2 linked regions of the Elephas maximus indicus genome follow. The protein of the gene in region 1 purifies or fractionates together with the protein of each later gene. This does not show direct contact. Links are inferred from orthologs where the notes say so. Each region holds a gene or a part of one and is shown on either strand. Other genes may lie near its edges.

Region 1 (7,559 bases):
ATAAAATGAAATAAAATTATAATCGTATCTTTTAAAAAGGGACTTAATGTCATTTAAGAGGCAAAACTAAAAATAATCCCAAAACATTGCCTTTCTCTATCTATAAAGACAAGCAAGCTGAAGTACGTTGTATCCATTCCGAAGGACGTAAAAATGGACAACGTACTACAAAAAAAGTTTGCTTCTTTTTAAATGCCAAATGCTTTATACTAAATAATTCAAGCGGTACTGACAGGGGAGCAAGTAAGTACTTAAATTCAAATATTAAGTAAAATTGGATTTTGCAGACAATCCCAATTTTGTGATTTCAAATATGTGCAGAGCTTAAAGGAGGCACTTTCCTTTTTCGGAACACTTGGTCAAACTGCATATAATGCCTAGTAATAACGTTTACGGTAAGTGATAACTTTTACTCCAAAACATATTTTGGAAAAAATAAACCCTGGCTGCTTCTCCAGGAACTTCAGCATGATGTTCGCAACGTGACCTTTTTGACACACATTAACGACAGAGATGACAGTTATATCGAGCATGCTGAACGTTACAACTGCGCAGCAAAGGCCGATTCTTATTATGCTGTTGAGTCAAGCGAAGAAAAGGGAGGAGGGAGTTTGATTCTTTACATCAAACCGCCGGCTGTGACAAGCAGAAACTGCCAGCTTCCTGAGGCCAAACAGCGAATGGACCAAAGGAAAGCCACCTCAGGGCCGGTCCCCCGGTGGACCTCGAGGCCTGCTCCACCTCGGGGTAGGGATACATCGGCCTGCCCCGTGATTCTTTCTTTTTCTCTTTCTCCCCGAATAGCGAAAAGGAGCCGGAGACACAGTCATCTACAGCTCCCCGCCAGCCGGAAGGTCCCGCGCGTTCCACTGGTGCGCACCTCCGCTCCGACTCCCTCAAAACGCCGTCTGAAAGGGAGCCCTGCTTCGCCGCTCACTTGCACCTCCGCGCTCGATAAGCACTGAGGAGGCAAGAGAGAAGACAAACGCATCCCCAGCCCCGGTCACTTGGGGCGCGGCCAAATCTGGGAGCACTTCCCTGCGCGGAAAGCGCCGGCCCCGCCGCCAGCGCGCCGACCGCGCGGCCCGGACGCGCTGGCCCTTTAAAGGCGCCGCTTCCTGCGCCCGCGGCCCCTCCCTCGCCGCCAGCTCCCGCCCCCGCCCCGCCGAGGGTCACTCCTGGCGCTCAGCTCGCCCGCGCGGCCCGGCGCCGGCGCTCGGCTGGCGGTGGCGGCCCCTCCGCACGTGTCGGGGGCGCTGCCTCGGGCTCGGCGCGCCCGGCCCCTCGCACGCCAGGCCACTTCGGATAAAATCAAAACAAAGCAAAGTGCGCACCGGCCGCCGGGAGCTGCGCGGCGGCCCCGCACCGGCTCGGCACCGGCTCCGGCCGGCTCGCGCCCTCCCTGCCCCCTCCACCTGCGGTCCGGGTTCCGGCGGCGGGGCCCCGCGCCCCGCGCCCCTCGCAGCGCCTCCCCCGCTGAGCGCGGCGGAAACGGCTGGGGGACGCGCCCCGCTGGGGCGGAGGAGTCGCCCTCACCCCGAGCTCCGCGAGGGACGGGAGCCACGAGCAGGAGCCCACGCCGGCCGTGGGGGCGCGGGACCAAGGGGAGCTTCCTCTCCTTTTCCTGGCGAACTTTTCCACTTGGGCTGACCTCCACTTCTCGGCGTACTTTCTTCACAGCCTCAGTCCCGAAACAGGCCCCTTCCCTGTCCCTTTCCATCTTTCACTCACACGCGCGCACACACACCTCTAACCGGTCCCCGGACCGCTTCTGGTCCTCGGCAGACCCACCGCCCGCCTCGGCCACTTCTCCTTGCTCTCGCCTGCACGCGCCGCCCTCGTGCCCCGCACCTTCAGGGAGGGCGAACCTGCACAGGTGCCCCCTCGGCTGCCCACCGCGACCCGGACGGATGCCGGAGCCCCCGCGGCCGCCTGGCCCGCTCACCTTCCAGCCCGCGGAGCTGTTGCTGTCGCCCTTATCCTTGAAGTAGGGCACGCTCTTGACCATCCACTCGTAGATCTGCGACAGCGTAAGCCGCTTCTCCGCCGAGCTCTCGATGGCCTTGGTGATGAGATCGGCGTAGGACAGGTTGCCCCACGCGTTGCGGCGGGACGAGCTGCTCTTGCGCGGCTGCCCCGCGAGCGGCCCGGCAGTGGCGGGGGGCACGGGCGGGTGCTGCGGCAGCGGCCCGGGCGGCGGTGGCTGCGGCGGCGCCGGGTGCAGGCAGGTCGCCTCCGGACCCTGGAAGTCCCCACACAGCCCCCCGGTGGCGGCAGCTGCGACCGCCGCCACCGCCGCCGCAGCCGCCGCCGCCGCGGCCGCCGCCACGGAGCCGGGCGCCGGCGGGAAGTCATCGTTCTCCTCCAGCAGGCTCAGGTTGTTCATGAAGTCGGCGCTGACAGCGGCCGCCGAGCCCGGGGGCAGGCCCGCCGCGGGGTCGAGACTGGCGGCCGCGCCGCCCGACGGCGCCGGGCTGGAGGTGGCCGAGTTGGACTGGCTGAACTCGGGCCTGGGCAGCGGCCAGGTGCACGAGCGCGGCCGCGGCAGCGGCTCGAAGTCCGGGTCGATCTCCACCACCTGGGGCGCTTCGGCCATGGTGACCCCCGCCCCTCCCCCGCCGCTGGAGCGCAAAGAAGGGGAGAGCGCAGCACCGGCTGGCGGCGGGAGAGGGGAGCCGAGAGCCGGTCCGAGATTTGGGGGCGAGGTCGCTGCGGGAGCCGACGGAAACCGGGAGGCAGGAGCTCGAAGGGGAAGGAAGCGCGAGCCTAGAACTTAACTTCGCGGGTCCATCAAGCACGCCGGGCTTCTCTGGGTCCGCTGCGCGACGGGACGGCGGGCCGGAGCCACGGGGCAGCGCCGGCGCCCGCTGACAGGGCCCGCGGACGGAAGCACGGCCGGACGGACGTCGCGGGCAGCTCGCTCACTCTCGCCGGCGGCACGACGGCGGCGCTGCTGCCTGTTGAATGTGGCGGCGGCGGCGGCAGCAACTACGCGGCCGCCCGACTTACGGGATCTGCCACGGCCTCCCGCCCGCGGCCGCGCGCGCGCCGGCCCGCCCCTGAGTGGCAGCCGGCGCGGCCAATGGGCATGCGGCGGCGCCCGTGGGCCGCCAGTGAGCGCCGGCCTGGGCGGGGACCGGTTTCCACGGGGAGGTGGCTGCAGATTGGTGGGGGGCAGTGGGCTGTTTTTCTCTTTCACACACTGACTTTTTTTTTTGGATCTGTTATTATTTTCTGGTAGTTCTCGAGTGTGTCTGCAAGTCTCTCGCCCTCTCGGTGTTCTGATTCCTAGGAGGCACACTGGCGTGGAGGCGGCGGCCACACTTTGTTTACTACGGAAAGCAAAGCCGAGTACTCGGCGGTCCCGAGCGGGGCGACTGCCCGCTCCGCCCGAGCTCCGTGCCGGACCCGGACCGGCGAGTGGGCGGACGGGCGGCGGGCCGGGGCGCGGGCTGTGAGGGCGGAGGCGGCCTCGCAAAATTCTGCTCGCTCGCCCCCTCTCGACTCCACCCACGGTTTCTTTGCAGAGCGAGGTGGGGAAGGCAGCGGGGTTTGTTTTTGTTCCACGTTTTCTTCCCGGCGATCTGTCAAGTCCTTGGGCCCCCGCGCGGCAGGCACACGCCCCGGGCGCTGGCCCTGGCTGCCAGTCCGCGCCGAGAGCGCCCTCGCCGACGCCTCCGCGCGGGGACCACCTGTGCGCAGCCCGGAGCCGAGCCTCCGCGCCCGCCCTGGGCGTAGCCGGGGGTCAGTCGCCCAGCCCACAGCCACCGGCCTAGCCCACTCCATTCTTGACCCAAACAGCTAGAAATGACGGAAAGATTCGTATTCTGTATGGAAGCACAGTTCCATCTAGGAACCTCTTCCCCTGGATGGGAACCTCAGACTCTGCCCACCCTGTTAAGGGGAGAGGGGCGAAAGAGGTCAAGGGGAACAGTCAGCAAGAACCTTGTCACTAGATCACTTGCCCCCAAATAAGTTTAATTGTTTATTTATTTATTCTGTTTAGAATAGAAAGGATGCAGTATTGAGGAGTGAAAATGCAAGAGACGATAGGACCCAAGCCTTGGGCACAGCCCTGCTCAAGTTCCTTTAGGCTGCTAACCGCATGCGTCAGTCAGCCCCACGCCCACGGCCCTACCTTCCCCCATTTGGGCTCCAGGTCCAGGACGTCCTGTCGAGGATCAGTGGGGCCAAAGGTAGGAAGACAATGGCCCTTGTCTCAGGGAGCAGGAGAAACAGTTTTCAAGTTTTGTTTTTTGTTGTTGTTTTTTTAAGAAGGATGTGGAAACCATTGCCGTCAAGTCGATTCCGACTCATAGCGACCCTATAGGACAGAGTAGTTTCCAAGGAACGCCTGGTGGACTTTTAGAAGGATGGGATCATTTAGGATGGAAGATAGCAGGGTTTTTAATGTCTTGTCCAAAATGATAGCTCCCAAGTTCTAAAACAATCTCATCTCTTTCTTACAGGCAATACGTCATTTGGAAAAGTTGCATCCAAAAAAAATTAGGCCTATTTTACAAAAGTTTTAAAAATTTAGAGGGATATAAATAACATTTATTCCTTCTTTTCCATTGTCACTATCATCCCCTTAGTTCAAAACCTTATTTCTTCCTAATCCATTTATCACAACAGCTTCCTACTGATATTGGGGACGGGTAGGGTGAGGGTGAAAGGGTTGGATTGGAGATAGAAGTTGGTCATCACCCTCGTCTTTTGGTCTCTTTACGTTTTACTATCAAATTTGGACAGTTTGGGGCTCCCCTGCCAGCCACTAGGGGACCTCAGCAACCCAGATGATAAGCTCAGCCAAAGGCTGCAGTGTAGAGCCCTTAGTACCCCCTAACCCCCGGCCTCCCACCGCGGGCGCCGGGGCGGGGGAGGGGCCTTTACTGTCTGCAGAGACAGCCGTATTCAAACCATAACCTACTAGTCAATGGTGCCCTAGTGAATCATTCTTGGCAAAGGAAGTCAGCTGCAAATTTGGCCTTGCCTTCATTTTAATTCCGGTTTTCCCAGGCCTCAGTATTTGGTTAAGAGAGTTTTCCTGCAGACTTCCCCCTGATCCTTGAAATCTGCTCTGCTATCTTGCCTAATTTTTTTTCTTTAAGTGTCGGTCTGTTTTCGTTTGCTCTTTAAAAACAAAAAGAAAAAAAAACTTGGAGCAGGCACAGAGAACCTACAATGCCCATCTCCCTCACACATAATTCAAACAAATATTTTAACTATATTATAAAAATGTTCATTCTTTTTATAACTGGCCTACCATTCCCATATTGGTGAACATCTGGTTTGTTTCCAGTCTATGGCTGTTACTAACAGCTCCATAACAAGTAGCCTTGTACAACTGTCATTTTGCATCTGTGCAAGTATTACCAGGAGGAATTTCCAGAAATGGGATCACTGGGTCAGCAGGTATAAGCATTTGTAATTTTGAGAGACACTGCCAAATTGCTGTCCGTAAGGGTTGTATCAAGCTAAATTTTCTTTTCAGATAGAGCCACAGATCATTAAAGTTTAAAGTAAACTTGGAAATCATCTTGCAGATTCTTTAATGTATAATGGGGATACTGAGGCACAGAGAGTCTAAACCATGTGCCAAAGAGCACACACTGAGAGTGGTGTCAGAGCTGGAGCTTCGGTTTCTTACTTTCCTGCAATGATCTTCTCGATACACAAGATGTACTCTTCCAACGTCAGGGGATCTTTTTTGGGGGGGGCGGGCGGGGAGGTTAATAGCAATAATGCATGCTCCTTGTAGCTAATTTGGAAAAATCCATAAGGGTATAAAGAAAATTATAAAGATCCTAGAATCCCAACATACAGATAGATAACTATTGTAATTATCTGGTTTGTTTCCCATTAGTCCCACAGAATCTCAGTCATTTTAGTTAGATGACTCCATTGAACTGAATGAAGGTTTGATGTAAAAGATTAAGCAAGCAAACAAAGATAATAGTAAGGTAATCAAAGAAAGGAGGTTACAAAAGAGTGGTTTTGTTTTTTAAGTCAAAATGTAAATGTCCTCTCTCTGAAGGATACCAAAGTATTTAAGTTGGCATTTAATTCTGCTTTGAAGTCTTTTTCTAACGATTATTATGTATTAGTTGGTGCATGTGGCCAAACTGGGAAAAAAATATTTCCTGCCAAATAAGGACAATTAAAATCAAGAAGAAGCTTAACCTCACAAACAAATGCGATGTTCTTTTTTATGCTGGGTAAGGATTGCACCATCGTCAACAGGAAGAGCACGACACCTGCCTTTGATCAATTCCTGGGCAGAAACTTCTGCACGTACCCCTGCCACCAATGCGCCATCTCTGCTTTAAATTCTTATTTGTCAAAACAGGTACTTTAAGTCCAGCTTAACGACTAAGTGAAAACTCGAATGCTTACTTCTCAGTTGTGGAACTTATCTCCATGCCTCACATTTCCTTTCCCCAACAACTGTCCATTTCCAGTATTTTGTCTGAATTATTAGGAGGTACTGCCTTCAACTTAAAGCAGTCTTTCTTCAGTGTGCCCATAGAAAGTAATAATAGGAACAAGCACAGCCTCTATCCTGAAACCAGTGACCTGCAGGCTGGCACATTAACTGGTAGTTGTAGTAGTACTGGAAGTAGTCATTCATTTTACTTGAGGAATAATTTCCTCTGGATTTTGGATACATTCAACAAATGAGCGCCTACTACATGCCAGGCACTGTGCGTCTTACAGTCTGTTGTTCTGATGGAAAGTTCCTTGAGGTCATAAATGGTTTATTTTCTTTTCCTTGATATGATATTTGATGTCAGTGTTAAGAATATATAGCTCTTTAATAATCAACACTACATATTGACAATATTTAATTGTCACACAAAAAATGTTTGATGAATATAAGGAATGCTAAAGCATAAAAGTGCAGCCTTGGTGGCATAGTGGTTAAGAGCTTGGCTGCTAACCCAAAGGCTGGAAGTTCGAATCCACCAGCCACCCCTTGGAAACCCTGTGGTGCAGTTCTACGCTGTCCTATGAGGTTGCTATGAGTCAGAATCCACTCGACGGCAATGGGATTTTTGGTAAGGCATAAAAAATTGAAACACAACCATAGTCACCATTTTGAAGAAAAATAACGAGATGGCCAACATTAGGGCAATGTTTAAGTAAAGAACGTCATGTCTGTAAGGTAGGATTTTATGCAGCCATTTAAAATAAAGTTGTTGACAAAGTTTGTAATGACATTCAGGAAATGCTGGTGATACAATGTTTAAAAGATTGGAAGGTACTACTGTCAGCTAAAAAATGTTAGTAATGATTGGATCTGGGTAAATGGATTTCATCTATGGAACTCTGGTGGTGCAGTGGTTAAAGCGATCAGCTGCTAACCAGAAGGTTGGAGGATTGAAACCACTGGCAGCTCCGAGGGAAAAAGATGTGGCAGTCTGCTTCAGTAGAGATTCATAGCCTTGGAAGCCCTATGGGGTCACCACGAATCAGAATCGACTCTAAGGCAGTAGGTGAGTTTGGATTATTCACCTAGCCCACCTCCTCATTTTACAGGTAAGACAATAGAGACACTG
Region 2 (7,819 bases), on another chromosome or scaffold:
GTCAGCCATTGAAAATTCTATGGGGTACAGTTCCACTCTGACGCACACAGGGTCTCCGTGAGTCGGAAACGACTAGATGCAACATGTATGTATTACATAAATGGTTTTTTTACTATATGTGAAGTGGCATAATATCACTTGAAGTAGGCCATAATTTAAAGTTATATACTAAAAGCCCTAAAACAAGGTTCAGTAAACTTTCTCTGTAACGGGCCAAATATTTTAGGCTTTCCAGGCTGTATGGTCTGTGCCCTAACTATTCAACTCTGCTGTTACGATCCAAAAGCAGCCATAGACAGTGCGTAAACGAACGAGGGTGGTTGTGCTCCAATAAAACTTTATTTATGGGCACTGAAACTTGAATTTCATACAATTTTCACTTGTCATGAAATATTATTCTTGTTTGGATTTTTTTTTTTTTTAACCATTTAAATGTATAAAACCCATTCTTAGCTTATAGCCATACAAAATCAGACAGCTGACCAGATTTTGCCTACAGGCCATAGTATGGCAACCCCTGCCTTAAATCAACCACTTAAGTAACAAAACAAAGAGTTATAGCTAATAAGCCAAGAAATGAGAGAAAGAAAGTAGAATTACAAAAAATACTCAATTATTTCAAAAGGAGGCAGGAAAAAGGAAACAAAGAACAGATAGGACAAGTAGAAAACTAATAGCAAAATGATAAATTTAAATGTAACCATATCAATAATTACACTAAACAGTCTAAACAACCCCACTTAAAGGCAGAGATTTTCAGATTGAATAAAAAAGCAAAACCCATCTATATGCTGTCTACAAGAAATGCCCTTTTCACAATGTAGGCGAGGTCAGCACAACTGGACTAAATGAAAAGCAAGGAAGTTTCTGGAATAAACTAAATGCTTCGAAGGCCAGCATGGCAGAGGCAGGGGTTTGGGGACCATGGTTTCAGGGGACATCTAAGTCAATTGGCATAATAAAATCTATTAAGAAAACATTCTGCATCCCACCTTGGAGAGAGGCGTATGGGGTCTTCAACACTAGCAAGCGGCCATCTAAGATGCATCAATTAGTCTCAACTCACCTGGATCAAAGGAGAATGAAGAACACCAAGGACATAAGGTAATTACGAGCCCAAGAGACAGGAAGGGCCACATAAACCAGAGACTACATCAGCCTGAGACCAGAAGAGCTAGATGGTGCCCAGCTACAACCGATGACTGCCCTGACAGGGAACACAACAGAGAACCCCTGAGGGATCAGCAGGGCAGTAAGATGCAGACCCCAAATTCTCGTAAAAAGACCAGACTTAATGGTCTGACTGAGACTAGAAGGACCCCGGTGGTCATGGCCCCCGGACCTTCTGTTAGCCCAGGGCAGGAACCATTTCTAAAGCCAAATCTTCAGACATGGATTGGACTGGACAATGGGTTGGAGAGGGATGCTGGTGAGGAGTGAGCTTCTTGGATCAGGTGGACACTTGAGGCTATGCTGGCATCGCCTCCCTGGAGGGGAGATGAGAGGGTGGAGGGGGTTAGATGCTGGCGAAATGGAACGAAAAGAGAGAGTGGAGGGAGGGAGTGGGTTGTTTCATTAGGGGGAGAGCAATAGGGAGTATGTAGCAAGGTGTATATAAGTTTTTGTGTGAGAGACTGACTTGATATGTAAACTTTCACTTAAAGCACAATAAAAAAAATTTTTTTTAATGCCCTTTAAATATAAAGACACAAATAAGTTAAAAATTAAAAGATGGAAAAGATATACCATGCTAACGCTGGTCACAAGAAAGCTGGAGTATTTTATTATCAGAGTAGAGCCGTTAATATCAGAGCTTCAAAATACACAAAGCAAAAACCAACAGGATTACAAGGAAAAACAGACAAATCCCCAATTACAGTTGGAGATTTCAATACACCCCTCTCAATAATTGGTATAACAAGTAGACAGAAAATCAGCAAAACTAGAAAACACTATACACCAACTTGACCCAACTGACCTTTGGAAAACGCTCCTTGCAACAATGGCATAACGCACATCCTTCTCAAGCACACATGTAACATTTACCGAGACAGACCATATTCTGGGCCATAAAACAAGTCTCAATAAATTCAAAAGGATTCAAACCATACTAAGTATGTTTTCTGGCCACATGAAATCAAATTAAAAAATCTGTTAACAGAAAGAAGCGTGGAAAACCTTCCAAATATTTGGAAGCTAAACAACATACTTTTAAATAACCCAAGGGTCAAATAAGAAATCAAAAGAGAAATAGAAAGCATATTGAATTAAATGAAAATGAAAACACAACACATCAGAATTTGTGAGATATTGCTAAAGCAGTACCAAACCAAAACCAAACCCACTGCCGTCGAGTCGATTCCAACTCACAGCGAACCTACAGGACAGAGTAGAGCTGCCCCATAAAGCGTCCAAGGAATGCCTGGCGGATTCGAACCGCCAACCCTTTGGTTAGCAGTCGCAGCACTTAACCACTACACCACCAGGGTTTCCACTAAAGCAGTAGTAAGGGGAAAATTTATACAGCTATACGCCTGTATCAGATAAAAGGGAAAAGGCTCAAGTCAATAAGCTCAGCTCCTATCTTAGAAAGTTAGGAAAAGAAGAATAAATTAAAACTAAAGTAAGAAGAAAGGAAATAATTAAGATCAGAACAGAAATCAATGAAATAGAAAGCAGAAAAACAACAGGGAAAATTAATGAAAAAACAACCTGGTTCTTTGAGAAGGCCAATGTTTATTAACTGCCAAGGAAAAGAGAGTCCTGGAGATCTACTTCTAAAAAACCAAAAAAAACAGCCACTGAAAATACTGTGGAACACAGTTCTACCGACACACATGGGGTTGCCGTGAGTTGGAACGGACTTGAAGGCAACTGGTTGGTATGGATCTAGGAGATGGTGGGTGGTACAAATGGTTAACATGGTTAACATCCTTGGCTGCTAACCGAAAAGCTAGAGGTTTGAATCCACCTAGAAGCACCTAGGGAGAAAGGCCTGGAGATCTACTTCCAAAAAATCAGCCATCGAAAACCCTGTGGCACACAGTTCTGCTTTGATACACGTGGTGTTGTCATGAGACAGCACCAACTTCACAGCAACTCGTTGGTTACTACGGGTCTGGCACTGTCCAAGTCACTGGGGTACAGCAATAAACAAAACTGACAAAAGACCCCAGGCCTGTATGACTGCTATTCCTTCTGCCTGCAATTCTCTTCTTTCCAGATACCTATTTGTCTCATTTTCCTGCTATTTCTCCGTAACACTTGCTATCTTCTGATAGACTATGTTTTTATTTCCTTCCTTCCTGTCTTTCTTTCTGTCTGACCTTCTGTCTGTCTAGCTCTCCCACCTAGAATGTATGCTCCATAAGGACATAACTTTTTGTCTGTTTTCTTCATAACCTTATCACTGGCATCTAAAACAGGGCCTGGCACATGGTACCAAAAAAAAAAAAAAAAACCCACTACCATCCAGTCAATTCCAACTCATAGTGACCCTATGGGATAGAGTAGAATTGCCCCCATAGGGTTTTCAAGGAGCGGCTGGTGGAGTCAAACTGCTGACCTTTTGGTTAGCAGCCAAGTTCTTAACCACTATGCAACCAGGGCTTCAAAACATGGTAGTTTTCAATAAATATTTGTTGAATGGATGAATCCCTGCTCTCATGGAGCTTACAATCTCTCTCTGAATGAAAGATTTGAAAATTACTGCTCCAGAGGCAGGACCTTAGAGTCAGGGGCCAACTATAATGTCAGAAATCAAAGTCTAGGCTTACAAATCATGAATTAAGGATTAAAGACCATGTCTGGAGGTTAGAGGTCAGGAGGTTAGAGGTCTCGGGCCACATGAGGTCAAATTGGGTTTTGGGATCAGTGGGTTAGGGATGTGGATTCCAGGAACTAAGAATCAAGAGTTCAAGAAAGGAGAGTCAAAAATGATTGGGTTTAAAAAAAAAATTTACATATATATATATATACACACACATATATGGTTAAGATCAAAGTTGGATAGATTGATTTATTAAAGATTAGGATTTGGGAGTTAGACGTCAGGAAGTCAAGGATCAGAGGTCAGATTTAGGAGTAAAGGTTAGAAAGCCGGATCAGACCACTGGGGTATCAGGTAAAGCTGATCTTATCCGAGGTTGGATCCTTGGGGCCGGTTCGGGAGTCTAAGGTTCACTCACGTGTCCCCATCCTCAGTGACGTAGCCGAAGACGAGGGGCACCCACGAAAGCCCCGGGCCCAGCTCTGCGCCCAGCCCCGGTCCTCCGGGGACCGCTGCGTCCGGACCCAACGAGCCCAGGCCGCTGTCGCACCACTCATCCGCATCTGCGGCTTTCCCCAAGCACGCGACCCCGGCCATGCCCCCCTCTGCCTCCGGGACCCCAGAGGCCGCCCTCCGCCAGCCTGCCTGCCTCTGGGCTGTGCCCGGACCTCTGGAGCTTCCGCCCTGCGGGGAATTCCCCAACACTCCCCCTACTGTCTCCAATAAGAGTGGGCTAAATCGCTCACGTCCCGCCCAATCTCGCACCAAGACCAATCAGAGTGTCGGAATGGACTACAGCTCTCGACCTGTTCCCACATTTTCCGGGCGCCCTTTACCAACATGGCTGCCGACGCGCGGCCCTCTGGGACTCGTAGTCCGGCTCTCGTGTACCTTCCTTATCCGGAGGGACGCGCTCCGATCTTTGAGAGAATCGCTTGTCTGCGGCCGCTATTGCTTCTGGGAGTTGTAGTTCTCTGCCTCTTCCTTGCCTCTCCCCCTTCCGGTGCCGTCACGGGACAGAGCAGTCGGTGACAGCCCCGAGGGCCCCGGCCCCGCGCCCATGGCCGAGCCGGACCGTGAGTCGAGGGCTCTGGTGGGAGGGACGGGCCGCACCGGGGCCTGGTTTCGTGATCCAGGCCCTGGGGCCCGAGAGCGGGCGCGGTGGGGCAGGAGGTGGAGGCTGCGTGGGGGAGTGGAATTTGAAGGGCCATTGCTAAATGCTCTGTGTCGATAGGTTGTTGGGTTTCTGGGTCGCGAGGTTTTAAGGGTCACTTTACCGTGTTACTGATAATCGCATGTTTTTCGACCCTCGTTGCTAAGGACCCTCGTTGCCGCGATCCCGGTTGCTAAGGGTACCTGGTTGTTAGGGGCAGCTGTATGATGCTAGGCGGCCCCGGTGTTCCCTCCTATCTCTTCCCTCTAGTTCCTGTACCTCTCCTAAACCTACCACCGCCACCGCACCTCCTCTCCCAAACCCGCCTCCCAGCCAGGGTATCCCTTCCTACCTCCTTTCTTCCTAAATTTCCCTCCACCCTGGAAACCTAACCCCCTCAACACACACACACGGCTGTGCCCTTTCTAACTCTTTCTAACTCTTCTTCCACACCCTGTATCCCTTCCTTTCTCCTCTCTGTCCCCCTAAACCTGTCCCTCCCCTGCCTCTCTGTCCCTCACTAGCCACCTCCCTTCCCAGCAATCTCCACTCTAATATGATCAGCTTTTCCTCATCCCCTCCTCTCTACTCCTTACCCCAGTGTGACTAGGTCGGTGGGTCTTCTGGGTCCCCCTACTCCCGCTCTTAACCCCTTCATTCCCCCTTAACCATCCCCCCCTGCTGTAACCATGTCTGCTCCCCTCCTCCCCCAGCCTCTGACCCTCTGGAGACCCAGGCAGGGAAGGTGCAGGAGGCTCAGGTGAGATGGGGTAAAGGGTGGAATGGAGGGAAGGAGACAGATGGACTTGTTCCTACATCCCACACTGGGGGAGGCGGCAGAGGGAAACCAGTTCCCCTAGGGCCCCCAGCTCACTGCCCCAGGCCCTCTCCCCCACCCAGGGTGCAGCCTCCTGGGGAATGGTGGATTCTGGTGACTTTCAGAGAAGGGTGTGTTACCCCAGTCCCAGGCCTGCCCTCCCAGGTTCCCTCTTTCCTTGTCCCTCTTCCCCCCATCCCTTCTGAACCTCATTTGTACTGGGCCTGGGAGAGACACACATCAGATTTGGTCCCTGAACTCACGGCTCTCACAGAAAAATCACTAGAAAATGAGTCTATAAGGGAATAATGGAGGTATCTCAGGCCACTGTGGGAGTAAGCCTTGTGGGATCACAGACTCTACCTAGCCCCTTCCCTGGAGGAATCCACAGGCTGGCCTAGGAGTCAGATTGAGATATAGACACAGTGTAGTCGGTGAAGACTGGCTTAGAATGTTCCTACACAAGGTGACAAATGGTGTTCCAAGCAGAGGATGTAGTTTGTGCAAAGACCTGGAGGCATGAAAGACTGTGATCTGTTCAGTAGTTTGGTGGCTGGGGATGGTTGTTGTTAGGTGCCATGAGTTGATTCCAACTCGTAGCAGCCCCATGTGACTGAGTAGAACTGTCCTATAGGATTTTCTAGGCTGTAATCTTTACAGGAGCAGATTGCCAGGTCTTTCTCCCAGGTAGCCACTGCATGCTTTCGAACCCCCAATCTTTCAGTTAGCCACTGAGCACTGGCCGGTTGCACCACTAGGGCTCCTTTGGCTAGGAATGGTCGAATAATTATATCCATGGCTAGCATTGATTGAGTGCTTACTCTGTGCTGGAAACGCTGGTGGTATAGTGGTTAAGTACTACAGCTGCTACCCAAGAGGTCGGCAGTTTGAATCTGCCAGGCGCTCCTTGGAAACTCTGTGGGGCAGTTCTACTCGGTCCTATAGGGTGGCTATGAATTGGAATCTACTCAACAGCAGTGGGTTTGGGTTTTTTTGGTTACTCTGTGCCAGGCACTCTGTTTAGTGCTTTGTATGCATCGCCTGGTTTAACCTTCCCGATATCCCTGGGAGGCACACGCCCGTTGTGTAGATGAGGAATCTGAGGTATCTGGGGTATCTGGGGCAGAGGTGATAAGACTTGCCTTCTGTCCCTTGGCTAGAAGAGCAGGAAAGGGTTTGGAACTCAAGACCTTCAGCATACTGCCCTCCAGACACTGAGACGACAGGGCCGCCTCCTAGAAGCTGGAGGCTGGAAGACTTCGCCAGCACCTCCACCTCCCCTGTAGGCAAAGCTGCCCCTGGCTGGGCAGGGCCCTGGAGTCCTCCCACAGAGCCTCTTTGTCTCCAGCCCACCCACAGATGCGAGATGGCTTTGCAGATGTAGACCAGTGTAGATGCTGGGATTAAAGTACCTCACAGAGGCATAGCACAGTGACACTGAGGGTATGAGAGCTTCCCCTCAGGCCAGGGTTTCAAACCCCCCTAGCTCCCAAAGCACCACTGCTGTCATGTGGGGTCCAGAGAAAAAGGCTTAGTATTAGAAAGGGATCCTCAGTCCCCGAGAGAGATGGAGGACGTAAATCGCAGCATTGTCTCTGCAGTGTGGCAAAGCTGGAAACAGCTCAAATGGCTGTCAGTAGATGAGTTAAATGAACTGGTTCGTCCATACAATGGGACGCTATGCAGTTGCTTAAAAGGAGGAGGTGGGTCTGTACTGTACTGTTCTCTGGAAAACTGCAAGGTGCAGCCTCAGACTAGGGCCTGACCCATTTCTATCAAAATAGTGAACGTTTACATGTAGAGGAGAAAGCTGGCATAATTAACATCAAAACTTAACTAATAGCGGTTATCTCGATGGGGCCTGGGAGAGAGAACCATGAGGCAAGTGCCCCAAGTTACACATTTTCTAACCTTCAAAGTTTTTGCAAAGCTTGTGTAATCTTAAAAAGTGTCAAAGAAAGAATCATACCAGATAGTGTTAAAACATGGCGAGGGTGACTTTGATTCAAAGGGAAGTTGCAAGGGGAGGGGAAAGAAATACAAAACTGGATGGATGGAGCACTGTAGTGGGAGGAGAGGG

The links.
Region 2: the proteins of FOXO1 (region 1) and SIRT2 purify together in Homo sapiens (affinity purification with western blotting; 3 studies listed by BioGRID). This does not show direct contact. The link is inferred for Elephas maximus indicus from reciprocal best matches to the Homo sapiens genes FOXO1 and SIRT2.

The regions. Positions count from the first base shown.
Region 1 is NC_064832.1:24,269,145-24,276,703, forward strand, and holds the start of FOXO1 (forkhead box protein O1), read right to left. Parts: upstream 3,026-7,559; 5' UTR 2,597-3,025; coding exon 1,946-2,596; intron 1-1,945. UniProt on the Homo sapiens protein: Transcription factor that is the main target of insulin signaling and regulates metabolic homeostasis in response to oxidative stress.
Region 2 is NC_064829.1:112,632,173-112,639,991, forward strand, and holds the start of SIRT2 (NAD-dependent protein deacetylase sirtuin-2), read left to right. Parts: upstream 1-4,760; 5' UTR 4,761-4,829; coding exon 4,830-4,845; intron 4,846-5,635; coding exon 5,636-5,682; intron 5,683-7,819. Other genes in the region: NFKBIB (NF-kappa-B inhibitor beta), read right to left, coding at 4,188-4,366. UniProt on the Homo sapiens protein: NAD-dependent protein deacetylase, which deacetylates internal lysines on histone and alpha-tubulin as well as many other proteins such as key transcription factors.